Linked DNA regions of Arabidopsis thaliana. The protein of the gene in region 1 purifies or fractionates together with the protein of each later gene. This does not show direct contact. Each region holds a gene or a part of one and is shown in the gene's direction. Other genes may lie near its edges.

Region 1 (5,867 bases):
TCATGGCAACCACAAGACTTCTTACCTGCGCCAGAGAACGACGACGAATTCTACGACCGAGTAAAAGAGATCAGAGAAAGAACAAAAGAGATACCTGACGATTACTTTGTAGTTCTTGTGGGAGATATGATCACAGAAGAAGCACTTCCAACGTATCAAACGACGTTAAACACACTAGACGGTGTTAAGGATGAAACCGGTGGGAGTTTATCGCCGTGGGCTGTGTGGATTAGAGCCTGGACGGCGGAGGAAAACCGTCACGGTGACTTACTCAACAAGTATCTTTATCTAACTGGTCGTGTTGATATGCGACATGTTGAGAAGACTATACAATATCTTATTGGTTCTGGTATGGTAAGTATTTCACATTTATCGTTACTATTGATTTGGTTACATTATTAATATTTTTTTTGGCAACGTTACGTTTTAGGATTCGAAATTTGAGAACAATCCATACAATGGATTCATCTACACATCATTCCAAGAGCGAGCAACATTCATCTCTCACGGCAACACGGCTAGGCTAGCCACAACATACGGCGATGTTACCCTCGCGAAGATCTGCGGCACAATCGCTGCCGACGAGAAGCGACACGAGACGGCGTACACGAAGATAGTGGAGAAGCTATTCGAGATCGACCCTGACGGATCTGTTCAGGCGTTAGCGAGTATGATGAAGAAACGGATCACAATGCCGGCTCATCTTATGCACGACGGAAGAGATAACGATTTGTTTGATCATTACGCCGCCGTGGCGCAGCGGATTGGAGTTTACACGGCGGCGGATTACGCTGGGATACTTGAGTTTCTGTTGCGGCGGTGGAAGGTGGAGAGTTTGGGATTGGGGTTATCAGGAGAAGGAAGGAGAGCACAGGAGTACTTGTGCACCTTGCCGCAGAGGATCAAGAGGTTAGAGGAAAGAGCTAATGATAGGGTCAAACTTGTGTCAAAACCTTCTGTTTCGTTTAGCTGGGTTTTTGGTAGAGATGTGAAACTATAGATAGATATTTAAAATAACAAACAAACAAAAAAAAACCAAACAAATATAAATAAATAAATTATGTTTGTGATCAGGTTGCAAGTTGTCACTTGTGAATGTGAGTAACCAAACTATATAGTATATTTTAATAATTTTATATGGACATCTCACAAGTTTTCATTTATTCACCACTATATCCATCTTTTATTAACTTTATAATGTTTTGATCAGTCTTGAAACAACAATGAGGATAATTATAACAATGTTGATCTTCTGTCTATCCCAGTCGAGCCAGTTTGATCGGCTTCACGATTGTTAAACCATATCTCGTGTGAACAACTTGAACACCGGTAAAACGATTGATTCAATGATGGATATCATGATTCATTGTGTAATGTCTTTCGACAATTGAATAAATCCACTACTAGTTGAGAGTCTCTTTTGAAGATGACACATCTATTAATAACCCATATTGTTTGCAAAGCATGGAGCTAGGAGCATGGTCACAACTATTAAGAGATTGTAGTTGCATGCAGCCGTGATGACATAAAGACTTGGAGAAATTCGTGTCATAAGAAGAGTTTATTGTTATGAGTTATGACGACAATTCAGTGACACATGAATTGTTTTGTACCGTCATACTAAAAGATCTTTGTCGCGTAATATGATTTTGCTTTGACAGCATGATTACAATACGACAAGCATTTTTTGCGTTTCAAGCTGCAGCGGCCCATGGGCCTCTTTAACAAATAACGACAGAAGTAGACAAAACAGGTAAAGAAAATGGCAGTGATGTAATAAAAAAAACCTAGAAGGGACATTTAAGAGACTTTCAAACAGAGTCGTTTATGCAATAAATGCACACACACTTGCTGAAATAATCACGTTCCAGAGAGTTTTCTGAAATTGATCGTTTTGGTTCTTCACCTTTCCTTTTCTTTGCTTTCTGCTTCCTCCCTTAAATACATTTCACTCTGTTATCATCGATTTTTTTTTCTTATATCTCAATCTTATTTTGTTTGTCTTTTCTCCATTTTTGTTTCGTTAAGAAGAAACAATGGTTATGGCTATGGATCGGATCGCTTTGTTCTCTTCCTCATCATCTGTTTATCATCACGGTTCTTCTCATTCTCATGGCTCCAAATCTTCCAGAGTTTTCACTATTCGTTCCGACTCTACGTGAGTTTCTCTCTTCATTTCCAGAAATTCTGTTTATTTTTCTGTTTCCCCAAAATTTTCCTGATTTTGAGGTTTCGTTCTTTCTGGGGTTTAAGTTTGTTCAGCGATGATCATTATTAACATTGGCTTTTTATATGCAATCTCCTGCTTCTATCAAATTTGTATTTAAATGCAGATTTATTTCGTTCTGTGATTACTAATCTAAAGCATTGGCTTTTGATCATACGCTTGTGTGTGCTCTGTTCTTACGTATTGCTTAAAATGATCATTATATTTATAGTTAGTTACTTTTATTTAAAGCATTATAGTTACTTTTATCATATATATCTTCTCAGTTTGTTTTCTGCTGAAGCTATGGACATGTCACATGTTTGCGATCACATGTTTGACATCGCAAAACTCTTAATTTTTGCATTTAAAAAAAAAATCTGATAGGGAAATTGCAATCTTTGTCTTTCTTGTACAATTCAGTATTTGTAATCACTAGTTTATGGAGTATATGCATGCATGGATTGTTCCCTTTTTTTGACTAAACTATTATTTAATTTGGTTGTTGGCCTATCAGGCTACAATGTTCCATCAATGCTTTCTTAATTGATTGCTAGTGTAAGTCTTTTTAAAATCAAATCACATTCCACATAAATTGGTTAAGGCTTTTTAATATTGTCTTGACTTTTTGTAGATTGCGTTTACTCTATGTTTATGCATATGCACACATCTATGTATGTGTTTATATGCACTGTAGTTGGTCAAGTTAGGTCTGAAATGTTTTTGCTTGTTGTTTTGGTGATACTGTTTTGGTCAGAAGAAATTTTGATTTAGAGCATGCTTTGTCTTGTAGTACTGCAAGTGCCTTCACTGTTGTTATATCATCTATGATGAACACTGAATCACACATTAGCTTGTCTTTTTCTTTTAAGAAACTGATTATTCTCGTGTTGGGATATCTCCTTTTTGGAGGTGTCTTAAAGACTATAACTTGTTTGCAGTTGGTTACCTGAATAACACGAAACCCTATCATCTAATTCTGGTGGCTGTGTTAAATGTTAATTATAACAGTATTTTCAGTCTCTCAAGTTTCTTATTCTATTGATCATTTTGGAATCTTCTTTAATGGAAAAATTGCAGAGCGGTTGGAAGGAAACTGTATATTCCTCCTCGAGAGGTTCATCTTCAAGTGAAGTATTCAATGCCACCACAAAAGCTGGAGATTTTCAAGTCCTTAGAAGGATGGGCTAATGACAACTTGTTGGCTTACTTAAAACCTGTTGAGAAATCATGGCAACCAACTGATTTTCTCCCTGAACCTGAGTCAGAAGGATTCTATGACCAAGTTAAGGAGTTAAGAGAAAGGTGTAAGGAGCTCTCTGATGACTACCTTATAGTGCTTGTTGGTGATATGATCACAGAGGAAGCACTTCCGACTTATCAGACCATGATTAATACATTGGACGGGGTTAGAGATGAGACGGGAGCAAGTCCAACTCCTTGGGCAGTATGGACTAGGGCATGGACTGCGGAAGAGAATAGACATGGTGATCTTCTTAACAAGTACCTTTATCTGTCTGGACGAGTAGACATGAGACAGATTGAAAAAACTATTCAATACCTCATTGGTTCTGGAATGGTAAGCTCCTTTAGTATAATAATATGGCTAGCTTTTCTTATAAAGGCTAAACCTACAAGTCTCTTTTTTTGGTCGTATTGATTGTGTTTTGTTTTGTAGGATCCAAAAACTGAAAACAATCCTTACTTGGGATTCATATATACTTCTTTTCAAGAAAGAGCTACATTCATCTCCCATGGAAACACTGCTAGACTGGCAAAGGATCTTGGAGACTTGACACTTGGGAAGATTTGTGGCACCATTGCTGCTGATGAGAGGCGCCATGAACACGCCTACACCAAGATTGTAGAGAAGCTCTTTGAAATTGATCCTGATACCACAGTCGTGGGCTTTGCTGACATGATGAGGAAAAAGATCTCGATGCCTGCTCATTTGATGTATGATGGTCGTGATGATAATCTATTTGATCACTTCTCGTCCGTGGCCCAGAGGCTTGGTGTCTACACTGCCAAGGACTATGCTGATATACTGCAACATCTTGTGGAAAGGTGGAATGTGGAGAAGTTGTCAGACCTTTCTAGTGAAGGAAACAGGGCCCAGGTAACAACATTAGAACCATGAAACCGTTTTTGTTTTCTTGTTTTTGACTTGACATGAAACATCCAACTTCTATTAAGTTTGTTTACTTTGTTAAAAAACCTCACCTTGCATTAAGGAACTTACAGAACCTATCATATCTATAATTGCATTGTAACTTCTCCTGTGCACTTGGAGATTCATCAAATTGGAATCTGAGTTCTTTACACTCTACTCTGACTTTTCGCTTTGTTTTAATGGCTTCGAACAGGACTACCTCTGTGGATTACCTGCTAGAATCCGCAAACTTGAAGAGAGGGCTCAAGGGAGAACCAAAGAAGCAGCAAAAAACATACCATTCAGCTGGATTTTTGGTCGAGAAGTCAGGGCTTAAAAGAAGTAATGTTAAGCAATTAATTCTTCCATATTATAATCCCAAGCAAGCTATAAAAGATCTTCACCAACACCTTGATGAAGAAGCCAGAAGTATGTTATGTTGGAAACGTGTGTAGATAAAGTATGTGTTAGACTTTGCTTTGTTTGGATCACTTAAATGACTTACTCCAAAGAATTTGCTTTGTTTTGACGATTTTATTTATTTATTTCTGCACCTCTATTTGTTGCTAGTATTGAATCCACTTCTGTAATGTTTTCTCTTCTTCTGAATCCAATAAGATATTTAAAAAGTAAAATTTTGTGTTTCGTTCTCTCTACTTTCAAATTTGTTTCTTTTGTGGTTAACAGTAATTACCTCACTTTCTTCATAAACTGGTTGATTTTGTAAAAGTTCAATTTTTATGCATCAAGTTCCTATGTTTGTGTATCCGCTTAAGGAAACGAAGTGACAAATTATAAGAAAAGACTTTATATATGTAACAGATCATTGACGAATTACATCAAACACTCAAAAAACAAATGAACAAATCACAATAATACCCACCGAAACAGAACCATAAAACCAACATTTGATATTGATCTAACTCAACAGTTCTCACCACAAAACAAAAGGACACAAACTTTAAACTTGGAACGGCCATGGCCAGTCCTTCGGATTCTCCTCACTCTGAACCTTACCAGTTCTCTTCATCGCAACGCCATCACCACCATCGACATAAGCATAGTACTTCAAGAAGAAAGCACACACAAGAACGATCCAATCAAGACAAAAGATCACAATACAAAGACCACCACCGAGTTTCAAAATCACAGCAGCATCTTCCTCACGCACATACGACTTAAGACTCCCGAGGAATTTAGACGTGTTGGTGAAGATGAGAACAGAGACAGAGCCTTGGAATATAGCAGTGAGCACAGTTGCAACCATGTGAGCGGCGTACCAACGGTTTCTTCCGCAAGATGCAGCAGCGCAGCCTGAGACTGCGGCGGCGATTGTGGTGGCGTGGAGGAGGATGAGGAGGAATCCGCAGATGGAAGGGATTAGACGGAGAGAGAGTGTGAGGAAGATACAACTTGAAGCAGCGCCGAGAAGGATGTAGTTGGAGAAAAGGAAGATCTTGTGTGTATGGTAATGAGACTCTTCTACTGGTGATGAAGAAGAAATGAAAC
Region 2 (5,092 bases), on another chromosome or scaffold:
TTTAGTGGAAGAATTAAACTAATATGATGTTTTTCTTTGTAACGTATTTACTATTTTCATGTAATTTAATAAAGAGGGTACGAAATGTAGGTGTACATTTGTTTGGGCTGTATATATTTCTATTGACATTAAATACGCCAAATTAGAAAAGAAAATCTTTAGTTGGAAGCATCTATTATATGTACCTCTTTCGGAATGTAAAATCACGTTTAATATTTCTGAACTGGTAATCAATCTCATCTCCTAAAATTTAATACATATCATCATTGTCAAACAATCGGAGTAGCGACGAGAACTATCATTGTTTTTCTCTTGTGATATTGCCGGCCAAATATTATTACCTCAATCATTTTGAAGCGAGTAAACATAGTTTTTTTCCCCCTTTTTTTTGTTCTTGTACACCAACAGAAAGCTGCATCACATCTGCGAATCATCACGTGCCATTCAAGTGATTACTGGAACGTGACATGAACGAATCTTCACATTGAGTGTTCCAACTCTCCTTTGTACGAAACTCCAAACAAGTAGATATATATTCAATTATTATGGATGTTGGAACAATCAAATTAACTCTTGTCCTTCTTATCGTAGAGACATGAAATTAACCCAATTCTGTAAATGAGTAGTAAGTAATCTATATATATATAGTTGACAACAGATAACACTATAATATATGCGTCCTTATAATGTTAATGTAATTATCATGGTTTGAGTTAACGTATAGAAGCATTGAAACTTAGTTGCAGACCGAAAATGATATACGATCTTAAGAGTTAAGAATCTTGAACTCGGCAAATTTTATGAAAAAAAAACAATTTCAACCATTTCTAACTAGTGATTAGATGACCAATAGCAAGCATGCACCAACGACTTCATTTTTATAAACATCATAGGGACCTAGACATATGCATTTTGTGGGCAACGGCCTACGCATTAAATTTGTGTTTCGAAGATTAAATTTATGAACAGAAGGCAACTTGCAAATTTGCTATGTACAAAAAACACAAAGGAAAAGTTTGTAAATAGAGACAATAAGGGAGAAATAAAAAGATCGCTTTCTCATAAGTCCGACTTGGTTCCACGGTATCTAGAATGCCCACGTGATGTCATGTACTTTTCCTTCTTCTCTATTCTAATATGTTGTTTAACAAAAAGAAAATTGATTGATAAAAAAAATTGAAAAATTTCATAGTGATATCTAAAGTTTAAACAAATTATCTCTAAGAAAATTGTTAGTATGCCTTGGAATATAATTTCTCAACACACAAACTGAAGAAATTGCTTTTAAAACTGAAATTTATATGGTAATGGCATACTAATAAACAGCTAAACTTTTGTAGTTTTATGTGTGTGTATTAAGAGATTTTTCAAAGTGAATGCACCTTAAGGTCATGTTTTGTGAGGTTTGATGTTGGAGAGAGTCTTTGATCCGCTGAAGAATTGGCCAGGTATCAAAATCATTTCTTAATTTATATATAAAATTTCAACTTTAAAAAAGAAACGTTCAATCTGAGTCTCTTAAAATAACAATGTGAATGTTAACACTTTGTAGATATCAGACTATCATAGATAAGATTGCTACTTAAAACATTGAAATGTTTTGATGATTCGTTAAGCCTAGCAATATATCATGTCGTTATTGGGCTTGTTTACTTACCCAGTTACCCGTATTCCAGTTATAAGCCCATTAATCAGCCTCGTACAGTTCTATTGTTGGTCAGATTATTAATTTTTAAAATAAGGGCGTATTTTCCGAAACTAAAGAAAGTATAGGGTCTTCTTCTTTTCTCTAATTAGGAAAAAGACTTTTTCAATTGTCTTGTCCGTGAAATTATGTGGAGAGCTAAACCATTCATAGCCCGACATGTAACCCAGCCACGTAATTAGACCACTCGATCACCGTTCGTATTAATGTGATTAAATCAACGATTGATATCACGCCACGTCATTGTTTTTCTTTTTTCCTTTGTATCTTCTGTTCTAAGGGAAGAAATAATAACGAGAGAAGAACGTTTTAATAAACAGAGAGCAGAGCACTTGTTCTAAAGATCAAAGCTTAAGTGAGAAGCAGAAAAAAAAATGGCGAAATCTCAGATCTGGTTTGGTTTTGCGTTACTCGCGTTGCTTCTGGTTTCAGCCGTAGCTGACGATGTGGTTGTTTTGACTGACGATAGCTTCGAAAAGGAAGTTGGTAAAGATAAAGGAGCTCTCGTCGAGTTTTACGCTCCCTGGTATGGTTCAATTCTCTCAATTCGGATGCGATCCTTTTTGATCTGTAAATCTTCTGGTCGAGAAATGTTTTGATCTGTGATTGCAGTCTTCTGGATTAATAAGCATGATTTCGATTTATATGTTTTACTGAGAAATTAGAGCTTACTGATGTGTGCTGTTGAATCTGACTAATTGCATTTATGGAATTGGACATGGTTTTAATAATAGGTGTGGTCACTGCAAGAAACTTGCTCCAGAGTATGAAAAGCTAGGGGCAAGCTTCAAGAAGGCTAAGTCTGTGTTGATTGCAAAGGTTAGTGTGATTCTATTTCGGTATTCAGCTCCAATGTTTAAAAGATAGATGAATGATAGATTGTTTCAACTTGTGTATTGTGGTGAAGGTTGATTGTGATGAGCAAAAGAGTGTCTGTACTAAATATGGTGTTAGTGGATACCCAACCATTCAGTGGTTTCCTAAAGGATCTCTTGAACCTCAAAAGTATGCTTTTTACTGTTTATTCTCTCTAAGCAGATTACTTATTTGGTGGATGTCTTTTGTTTATAGATAGTGAATGATTTTGTTTGTTTTTTCTGTTCATCTTATTGAATAGGTATGAGGGTCCACGCAATGCTGAAGCTTTGGCTGAATACGTGAACAAGGAAGGAGGTATGATAGTAGCTAAGCTTGTATCATTTCGGATTATAGATATTTACTTTTGTGGGAAACTTGTTTTAGCTTGGTTTATGACTAAAATTTAGTTGGCGACATGTACCATCATTTGTCACTTTAGGATATATGCTCGCCATTTGTTTCTCCCACTTGTTGTCTTTATAATTCTTCTTCGATAAATTTTGTTCCGACATACCTCCCTATGTTGCAAACAACTGACGTATTGAACAAATATGTTTCAGGCACCAACGTAAAATTAGCTGCAGTTCCACAAAACGTGGTTGTTTTGACACCTGACAATTTCGATGAGATTGTTCTGGATCAAAACAAAGATGTCCTAGTCGAATTTTATGCACCATGGTAACCATACTTGTTATCTCTCTCCTCACCGTCATGGTTTTGCTTTCATGCTGCTATCTTCTAATATCAATTTTCCATCTTCCAGGTGTGGCCACTGCAAATCACTCGCTCCCGTAAGCTCAACTATCTGTTTACTCTTATTATAGATATATAGTCATCTATGCTTCATAACTAATGCTTTTTTCTTTGTATTATCAGACATACGAAAAGGTAGCCACAGTGTTTAAACAGGAAGAAGGTGTAGTCATCGCCAATTTGGATGCTGATGCACACAAAGCCCTTGGCGAGAAGTAAGTTGGACAGGCATTTTATTAATACCGATTTTACTGTTTAAAGTCATTTATGTTTCATAAAACCAAAACATAAAGACAAGTACCTTATATTCAGATATGGAGTGAGTGGATTCCCAACATTGAAATTCTTCCCAAAGGACAACAAAGCTGGTCACGATTATGACGGTGGCAGGGATTTAGATGACTTTGTAAGCTTCATCAACGAGAAATCTGGGACCAGCAGGGACAGTAAAGGGCAGCTTACTTCAAAGGTTCGGTAAAAACATGTCTTCTGCAGAATCACCATTTCCCACTAAAAATTGAAAACTTATGTTGATTCTATCACACTCTCAATAGGCTGGTATAGTCGAAAGCTTAGATGCTTTGGTAAAAGAGTTAGTTGCAGCTAGTGAAGATGAGAAGAAGGCAGTGTTGTCTCGCATAGAAGAGGAAGCAAGTACCCTTAAGGGCTCCACCACGAGGTATGTTAGTAGTAACTCTTAATCGATACATGGAGTGTGAGTGTTGAAAGTTGCCTCTTTAATTATTGGGCTTTCATGATGTCTCTATAGGTATGGAAAGCTTTACTTGAAACTCGCAAAGAGCTACATAGAAAAAGGTTCAGACTATGCTAGCAAAGAAACGGAGAGGCTTGGACGGGTGCTTGGGAAGTCGATAAGTCCAGTGAAAGCTGATGAACTCACTCTCAAGAGAAATATCCTAACCACGTTCGTTGCTTCTTCTTAAAAGTCATATAGCTTGAAGCTAAGAGAATAGGAGTCGAGAGAGTTTATAACTGATACTGTTTTGAGATTTTATGTTTGTCAAGATCAAGAACGTCTGTGGTTATTTCTGGTTAGTTCTGAAACTCTTTTGAACCCAAGTTTATCTGTCTCTGGTGAACAAGCGACCACGATAATCATAAACTTCATTCGCGTTAAAAAAAAAGGTTCAGTAATGGGCCAGGCTCGTATTCATTATTAATGGGCTAGGCTCGTGTTCATAAAAAGTCTGTAATGGGTCATTGAGGTATACAAAGGACATCCAATAAATAAAACATTTGTCTCATTTTTAAAAGTACATATCATCTCCGTTACTGTTTCGTCTATGAAAAAAGTAACACGGAAGCAATGTGATATACTACTAGGCAATAGCTAATCAAATAAGTAAATTAAGTAGGACTACAAAGAAAACATAACCAAAACAAAAAAAGTCTCTCAATGGTTTTTAATCCGGACATGCACCGAGACTGCTGTTTCTAACTCAGAAGTCAGAAACGATGGACAATCTGACAGCATTTGTTTTTAATCCATCGGAATCCATTCTTCAAAGTCGATTTAACTTTACCTTCAACTGTATAAGCTTTATACCTCGCGATTCTCTTCTTCCTCTTCATCTCCGCATCGCTTAAACCTCCGATTCGCAAAGACGACGACGCGTTGCTCCTTCCCGCCGCTACTTTTCCCGGCGGAGGCGGCAGTGACGGAGGATAATCCCGAGTCCCGTAGATCTGATTTCTCTTACCACTCACGATTTCCTTCCTCCGATCAACGCCGTAAGTTCTCTGACCCGACCCGTA
Region 3 (5,882 bases), on another chromosome or scaffold:
CACAGATTTGTCAAAATTTTCAAATGGATACCAAGAAACAGATGCCCGACCCGAATCACAAACCCGGTTACCGGAATCCGGTCATTAGCACGGTGTTTAAGCCGTGGAGCTAAGAGATTGTGCGGTGGAAGCAAGAAGAATCCGGGTCAGAATCAGATCCGGTTGGGTAAGGATCCGAAAAAGTCGAACCGGGTTGTTCCTCGAGGACATTTGGTGGTTCATGTCGGCGAATCAGACGATGACACGCGGCGAGTTGTGGTGCCGGTGATTTACTTTAATCATCCATTGTTTGGAGAATTGTTGGAGCAAGCGGAGCGGGTTCATGGGTTTGATCAACCGGGTCGGATCACTATTCCTTGTCGGGTTTCGGATTTTGAAAAAGTCCAGTTGAGGATCGCTGCATGGGATCATTGCCGCAGGAAAAATTCTTACAAGATTATATAATTTGAATTTATAAAATAGTCAAAAATCAAAAGAGGATTAAAAAAATTTATATACACTTATACAGTACAGAGAAGGATGATTTCCTTTAATTTGTGAATATTAGTTTTTTTTACCATCTATGTTATACGATAAATACCGATTCATAAATACAAGATAATTATTTGTATCAGTTTATTTCATGGATGATAGACCACATTGACATCCTATAATACTATATGGTTTAGATTTATGTGTGTAATTTTATAAGTTAGAACAAAACTGAAATTATGTTCTAACTTATAAAATTACACACATAAAAACTGAAATTAAAAAAAAAAAACAGAAAAAACTGAAATTGGGCTATCAGTATTTTTGAATACTTATATTTCAATATATCAAATACAGTGAGTGATGGTGTATTGCTGTATCTGAAACCTATCATCCACTATAAACCCCAATTGAAGTGAAACAATCAATATTTAGAATTTCCATATAATGTTAATTATGAAATTACTTCTATCTAAATATATTTCAGAAGAATTTTTGAGATACCACTTTTATGATTTTTATTTTTTTTTAATAATACCACTGTTTTTTTTTTTTGTTAATTTTCAATGTAACACAAAATGCAATCATAGAATTTGTTTTATTAACTTTTATAGAGCATATTATAAAAACGTTTATAAAGTTTCTATAATGCATAATATCAAACATTTATAAGATTTTTCACAAAATTTTTAATGTTTTATAGTGCTTAGAAGATTTTTCTTAAGAAATGATATGAAACTAGAATTTTTGAACAACCTTTTTCTGGTCTTTTTGAAAAATGGTATCATAAAGGTGGTAATTTTCAAAATTTCCCAAATTTGAATACAAATTCAAATCATATTGTAGGAAAGTGATCAAATATGTTAAAATTTAGAAGATGAGGTGAGAACAAATGTGCAGAGGAGATGCACTTGCTAAATTTGCATCTTCATGTGATTTGTATTTTGCTTTTTAGATTGTAGTTTACCACTTTGGTTGGTTACAAGTATTTGGAGAAACCATGTACTACTTGTTCTTTGAGTATTAATATATATGATTATATGTGGTATGTTTAGAAAAAAACAAAAAAACCAAATATCAAACCTAAACTTATTAAAAGTAAAGACACATTTGATTAAAACCTAAACCAAAAACGTACAAAACTATTCGCTTATGATGATATTATTTATCATAACCAAAACTTTAATCACCATACATACCTCCGATTTGGTTTTCTCTCCCAAACTGGTCGTCTTCTCACCTCTGGTTTACTACTACTTCGGATTGAAGAATTTTGATCGTCTCGTTGCTAACTCCACGATGTCTTTCTGACGCTTAATCTTCTGACAGAAGACAAAGACATAGCATAAAAAAGTAAGCACAGAACATAAACGGATGTTTATTCTTTTCTAGACGGTATATTTACATAAATAACGAATCACTTATCAAAAAGCTGGAGTAGCTCAGTTGGTTAGAGCGTGTGGCTGTTAACCACAAGGTCAGAGGTTCGACCCCTTTCTCTAGCGTTTCTTTTCCTTTTGTATTTTTAAGATTTAAAAACATTTTTCCACGGCTACAAAAGAACATTCTCGACATACACAAAAAAATTCGAAATTTCGAGAACTCTCTTGTGCCTTCTTCTTCATCTTCCTCTGTTTTTAAAAATGCAATCAAGCAGATTCTCACGATACCTAAACCAAATCCAATTCAATGGCGGAAGAAGCAAAATCCAAAGGAAACGCAGCTTTCTCTTCCGGCGATTACGCCACCGCAATAACCCATTTCACAGAAGCAATCAACCTTTCACCAACCAATCACATCCTCTACTCAAACAGATCCGCTTCTTACGCTTCTCTCCACCGTTACGAAGAAGCTTTATCAGACGCGAAGAAGACTATAGAGCTTAAACCTGATTGGTCTAAAGGATATAGCCGATTAGGTGCTGCGTTTATTGGATTGTCCAAGTTTGATGAAGCGGTTGATTCGTATAAGAAAGGATTAGAGATTGATCCGAGTAATGAGATGCTTAAATCGGGATTAGCTGATGCTTCGAGATCTAGGGTTTCGTCAAAGTCGAATCCTTTTGTTGATGCGTTTCAAGGGAAGGAGATGTGGGAGAAGTTGACGGCGGATCCGGGGACTAGGGTTTATTTGGAGCAGGATGATTTTGTTAAGACGATGAAGGAGATTCAGAGGAACCCTAATAATCTTAATTTGTATATGAAGGATAAGAGAGTTATGAAGGCTTTAGGGGTTTTGTTGAATGTGAAGTTTGGTGGATCTAGTGGTGAAGATACTGAGATGAAGGAGGCTGATGAGAGGAAAGAGCCTGAACCGGAGATGGAACCTATGGAGTTGACGGAGGAGGAGAGGCAGAAGAAGGAGAGAAAGGAGAAGGCTTTGAAGGAGAAAGGGGAAGGAAATGTTGCTTATAAGAAGAAGGATTTTGGGAGAGCTGTTGAACATTATACTAAGGCCATGGAGCTCGATGATGAGGATATTTCGTATTTGACGAATCGTGCTGCTGTTTATCTTGAGATGGGGAAGGTATTAAGTCTTATACTTGGCTTAAAAGTTAAACCTTTAGGTACTTTAAGATTAAGGAGGAGATCTTGGGTTCTTGAAGTAGCTTATCTGTTTAGTATAGCTTGTCACTAGTTAGTACATTTGTGATGACCTTGATGGGTTTTGATAACTTTCATCTGCTTCTTGTTGGAGATTTAAGAGTTTTGAACTTAAGTTTTCACTTGTGCTGAAAGTAGTTAGCTTTAGATGAGGTAGAAATTTAGGGTTTATGGCTTCATGATGGAGTTTATTCACTTGTTCTGTAGAAGTGGTTATCTTTATTATTACTGGAATCAATTAATCTTCAAGTATCCTGAGTGGTTCAATTCCATTGGTCTATGTGTTCTTGCATTAGTCTTGTTTAATTAACAGTTGGTTCATCTGGATCTTACTGTATCTTGTGTGATGTTTTACTTCATTTCTCAAATGAAATTATCAGTACGAGGAGTGCATTGAAGACTGTGACAAGGCTGTTGAAAGAGGCAGAGAACTTCGTTCTGACTTCAAGATGATAGCAAGAGCTCTGACTAGAAAAGGATCTGCTCTAGTGAAAATGGCGAGATGCTCGAAAGACTTTGAGCCTGCGATTGAGACTTTCCAGAAAGCTCTTACAGAGCATCGTAATCCAGATACATTGAAGAAACTGAACGATGCTGAGAAAGTCAAGAAAGAGCTGGAGCAACAGGAGTACTTTGATCCTACGATAGCCGAGGAGGAGCGAGAGAAAGGTATATATACTGATCCTCAGTTACACTTACTATCTTGAAACGTGATTTGATTTTAGGATTAAGCATTTGACACTTCTTCATTGATGCAGGTAATGGATTCTTTAAAGAACAAAAGTATCCAGAGGCAGTGAAGCATTATTCAGAAGCAATCAAAAGAAACCCGAACGACGTGAGGGCATATAGCAACAGAGCTGCTTGTTACACAAAGTTAGGAGCATTACCAGAGGGATTGAAAGATGCTGAAAAATGCATTGAGCTGGACCCAAGTTTCACGAAAGGATACAGTAGAAAAGGAGCTATTCAATTTTTCATGAAGGAATACGATAAAGCTATGGAAACGTATCAAGAAGGGCTAAAACATGATCCTAAGAACCAGGAGTTCCTTGATGGTGTTAGAAGGTTTGCAAATTTTGGCATTCTCTCTTTGTTGTTTAACCTTGCAAAGATCGGTCTAGTGAAAGTGTTGTTGTTTTCAGATGTGTGGAACAGATAAACAAAGCGAGCCGTGGTGATCTGACTCCAGAAGAATTGAAGGAGAGACAAGCAAAGGCAATGCAAGATCCTGAAGTTCAGAACATATTATCGGATCCAGTGATGAGACAGGTAAAAGCAGTGGCAAGCATTGTGTTCTAACTCGTAAGCTGTCTGTGAGACTTGTGTGATGATGTCTATTGTAGGTACTAGTGGACTTTCAAGAGAATCCGAAAGCTGCACAAGAGCATATGAAGAACCCAATGGTAATGAACAAGATTCAGAAGCTGGTTAGTGCCGGAATTGTTCAGGTCCGGTAAATTGGTTATGCTAAACCGGAGTGGTATATTGAATCAAACCGAAGATGTTTCCAAATTTTCACTGCGTTCTTTTGGGCTTTTGTTAAACTGATGAAACTCTGATTTGGTTTGGGTCATGTTTGAGGAGTTGTTGTAGAATGAATCAAGTCTGTGTTCTCCTAGTTTTATATGCTACTTCTTCGAATTTTCTCAAAAGAATCTTCAAACGAAATTTATAATTGCTGTCAAAAAATTTTAAAAAAAACTATAATTCTTTTTTGGTCGAAAATTATAATTTAAAAGTCAAAAGCTGTAAAATCTTTTTTGTTTTCTACATGTCTCTTTTACAGAGGAATAAAAGTCTTTTTAGACGGGCCTCACGTGCATTGCACACGTTATGGTGACTAAGAAATTGTGCAATAATCAGATTGTGTTGAATTTTCTCTTCCACTTTTCTTTAATACAAAATATAGTTTAAAAAAATATATATATAGATTTTTCTCTAGTGGAACGGTTTGTGGAAAGTATTTTAAGATTTAGATCTTAAGATTTTGTTTGCCCAAAAAACAAAAACAAAAAGATCTTAAGATTTTAAAATCTATGAAAGTTTAGGAGTTTTAATTTTAGAATTTAAGTTTCAGAATCTAAGATATGTAATTTTCCTTTGCTAACTGAAAAAACATAAGTAATAATTTCTGAATTTTGATTTAGAACATAAAACTATTTCCCATAACTTTTTATTTTGTTAATTAACGATTATTTTCAAAATTATGACATGTTCCTAATAAATACTATTCGGTTAATCGGTTCACTACACAAATCACAAATTCGTAAGGGGAGGTGTACCGATGGTTAACCAAATTACAGAGTACTTTTTTTTTTTCTTGCAATAGAATTTGCATAGATTTTTCATAAACATTCCATGCAAAAGGGTTAATAGATGTTAAATAGTAATTTAAGAGGATATAATTCATATATACTTGCATGTTTTGTTCATGTGGCAAACAGCCTAAAAATATTTGTATTTCCATAATTGTACCTAATTTGCTTCCATGATCACTCTTCACCGTTACTTCTTGGACTTGTCTTTCCCAAAAGCTAACAATCCGAAGGTTTATTTAAATTAAATCAAAAGAGCACTTAGTGTTTAACTTTAGACTAGTGATAAGATTTTCACACCTGCTCCCAAACTACCAAAGTAAATGGAGCTTATGTGGAAAGAATGTCATCATAAGATTATTCAAATAGTAAAGTGACTAGCTCTTGGTCTAATGGTTTCCGTGAAAAGGAACAAAAACACTAAAGGGTATGCAGAAAGTAGGAGATTTGTCCAACTTAGAGGTTATAATTTGTATGCTTAGAAAAAGTG

Evidence for each region. The genes of interacting proteins can lie anywhere in the genome.
Region 2: the proteins of AT5G16240 (region 1) and UNE5 fractionate together in Arabidopsis thaliana (co-fractionation; one large-scale study listed by BioGRID). This does not show direct contact.
Region 3: the proteins of AT5G16240 (region 1) and Hop3 fractionate together in Arabidopsis thaliana (co-fractionation; one large-scale study listed by BioGRID). This does not show direct contact.

Annotation. Positions count from the first base shown.
Region 1 is NC_003076.8:5,304,945-5,310,811, forward strand, and holds AT5G16240 (Plant stearoyl-acyl-carrier-protein desaturase family protein), read left to right. Parts: upstream 1-1,795; 5' UTR 1,796-2,036; coding exon 2,037-2,158; intron 2,159-3,286; coding exon 3,287-3,785; intron 3,786-3,884; coding exon 3,885-4,325; intron 4,326-4,572; coding exon 4,573-4,695; 3' UTR 4,696-5,017; downstream 5,018-5,867. Other genes in the region: AT5G16230 (Plant stearoyl-acyl-carrier-protein desaturase family protein), read left to right, coding at 1-354, 431-1,000; AT5G16250 (uncharacterized protein), read right to left, coding at 5,320-5,867. UniProt on the Arabidopsis thaliana protein: Converts stearoyl-ACP to oleoyl-ACP by introduction of a cis double bond between carbons 9 and 10 of the acyl chain.
Region 2 is NC_003071.7:19,479,424-19,484,515, forward strand, and holds UNE5 (thioredoxin family protein), read left to right. Parts: upstream 1-1,830; 5' UTR 1,831-2,079; coding exon 2,080-2,231; intron 2,232-2,439; coding exon 2,440-2,524; intron 2,525-2,612; coding exon 2,613-2,710; intron 2,711-2,822; coding exon 2,823-2,878; intron 2,879-3,123; coding exon 3,124-3,241; intron 3,242-3,326; coding exon 3,327-3,354; intron 3,355-3,439; coding exon 3,440-3,531; intron 3,532-3,628; coding exon 3,629-3,785; coding exon of another isoform or gene 3,786-3,790; intron 3,791-3,870; coding exon 3,871-3,995; coding exon of another isoform or gene 3,996-4,003; intron 4,004-4,085; coding exon 4,086-4,260; 3' UTR 4,261-4,592; downstream 4,593-5,092. Other genes in the region: AT2G47480 (DUF3511 domain protein, putative (DUF3511)), read right to left, coding at 4,784-5,092.
Region 3 is NC_003075.7:7,337,518-7,343,399, reverse strand, and holds Hop3 (stress-inducible protein), read left to right. Parts: upstream 1-2,038; 5' UTR 2,039-2,160; coding exon 2,161-2,997; intron 2,998-3,454; coding exon 3,455-3,743; intron 3,744-3,832; coding exon 3,833-4,142; intron 4,143-4,219; coding exon 4,220-4,346; coding exon of another isoform or gene 4,347-4,376; exon of another isoform or gene 4,377-4,420; coding exon 4,421-4,534; 3' UTR 4,535-5,382; downstream 5,383-5,882. Other genes in the region: AT4G12410 (SAUR-like auxin-responsive protein family), read left to right, coding at 1-444. UniProt on the Arabidopsis thaliana protein: Mediates the association of the molecular chaperones HSP70 and HSP90. Mediates nuclear encoded chloroplast preproteins binding to HSP90 prior to chloroplastic sorting. Involved in acclimation to heat.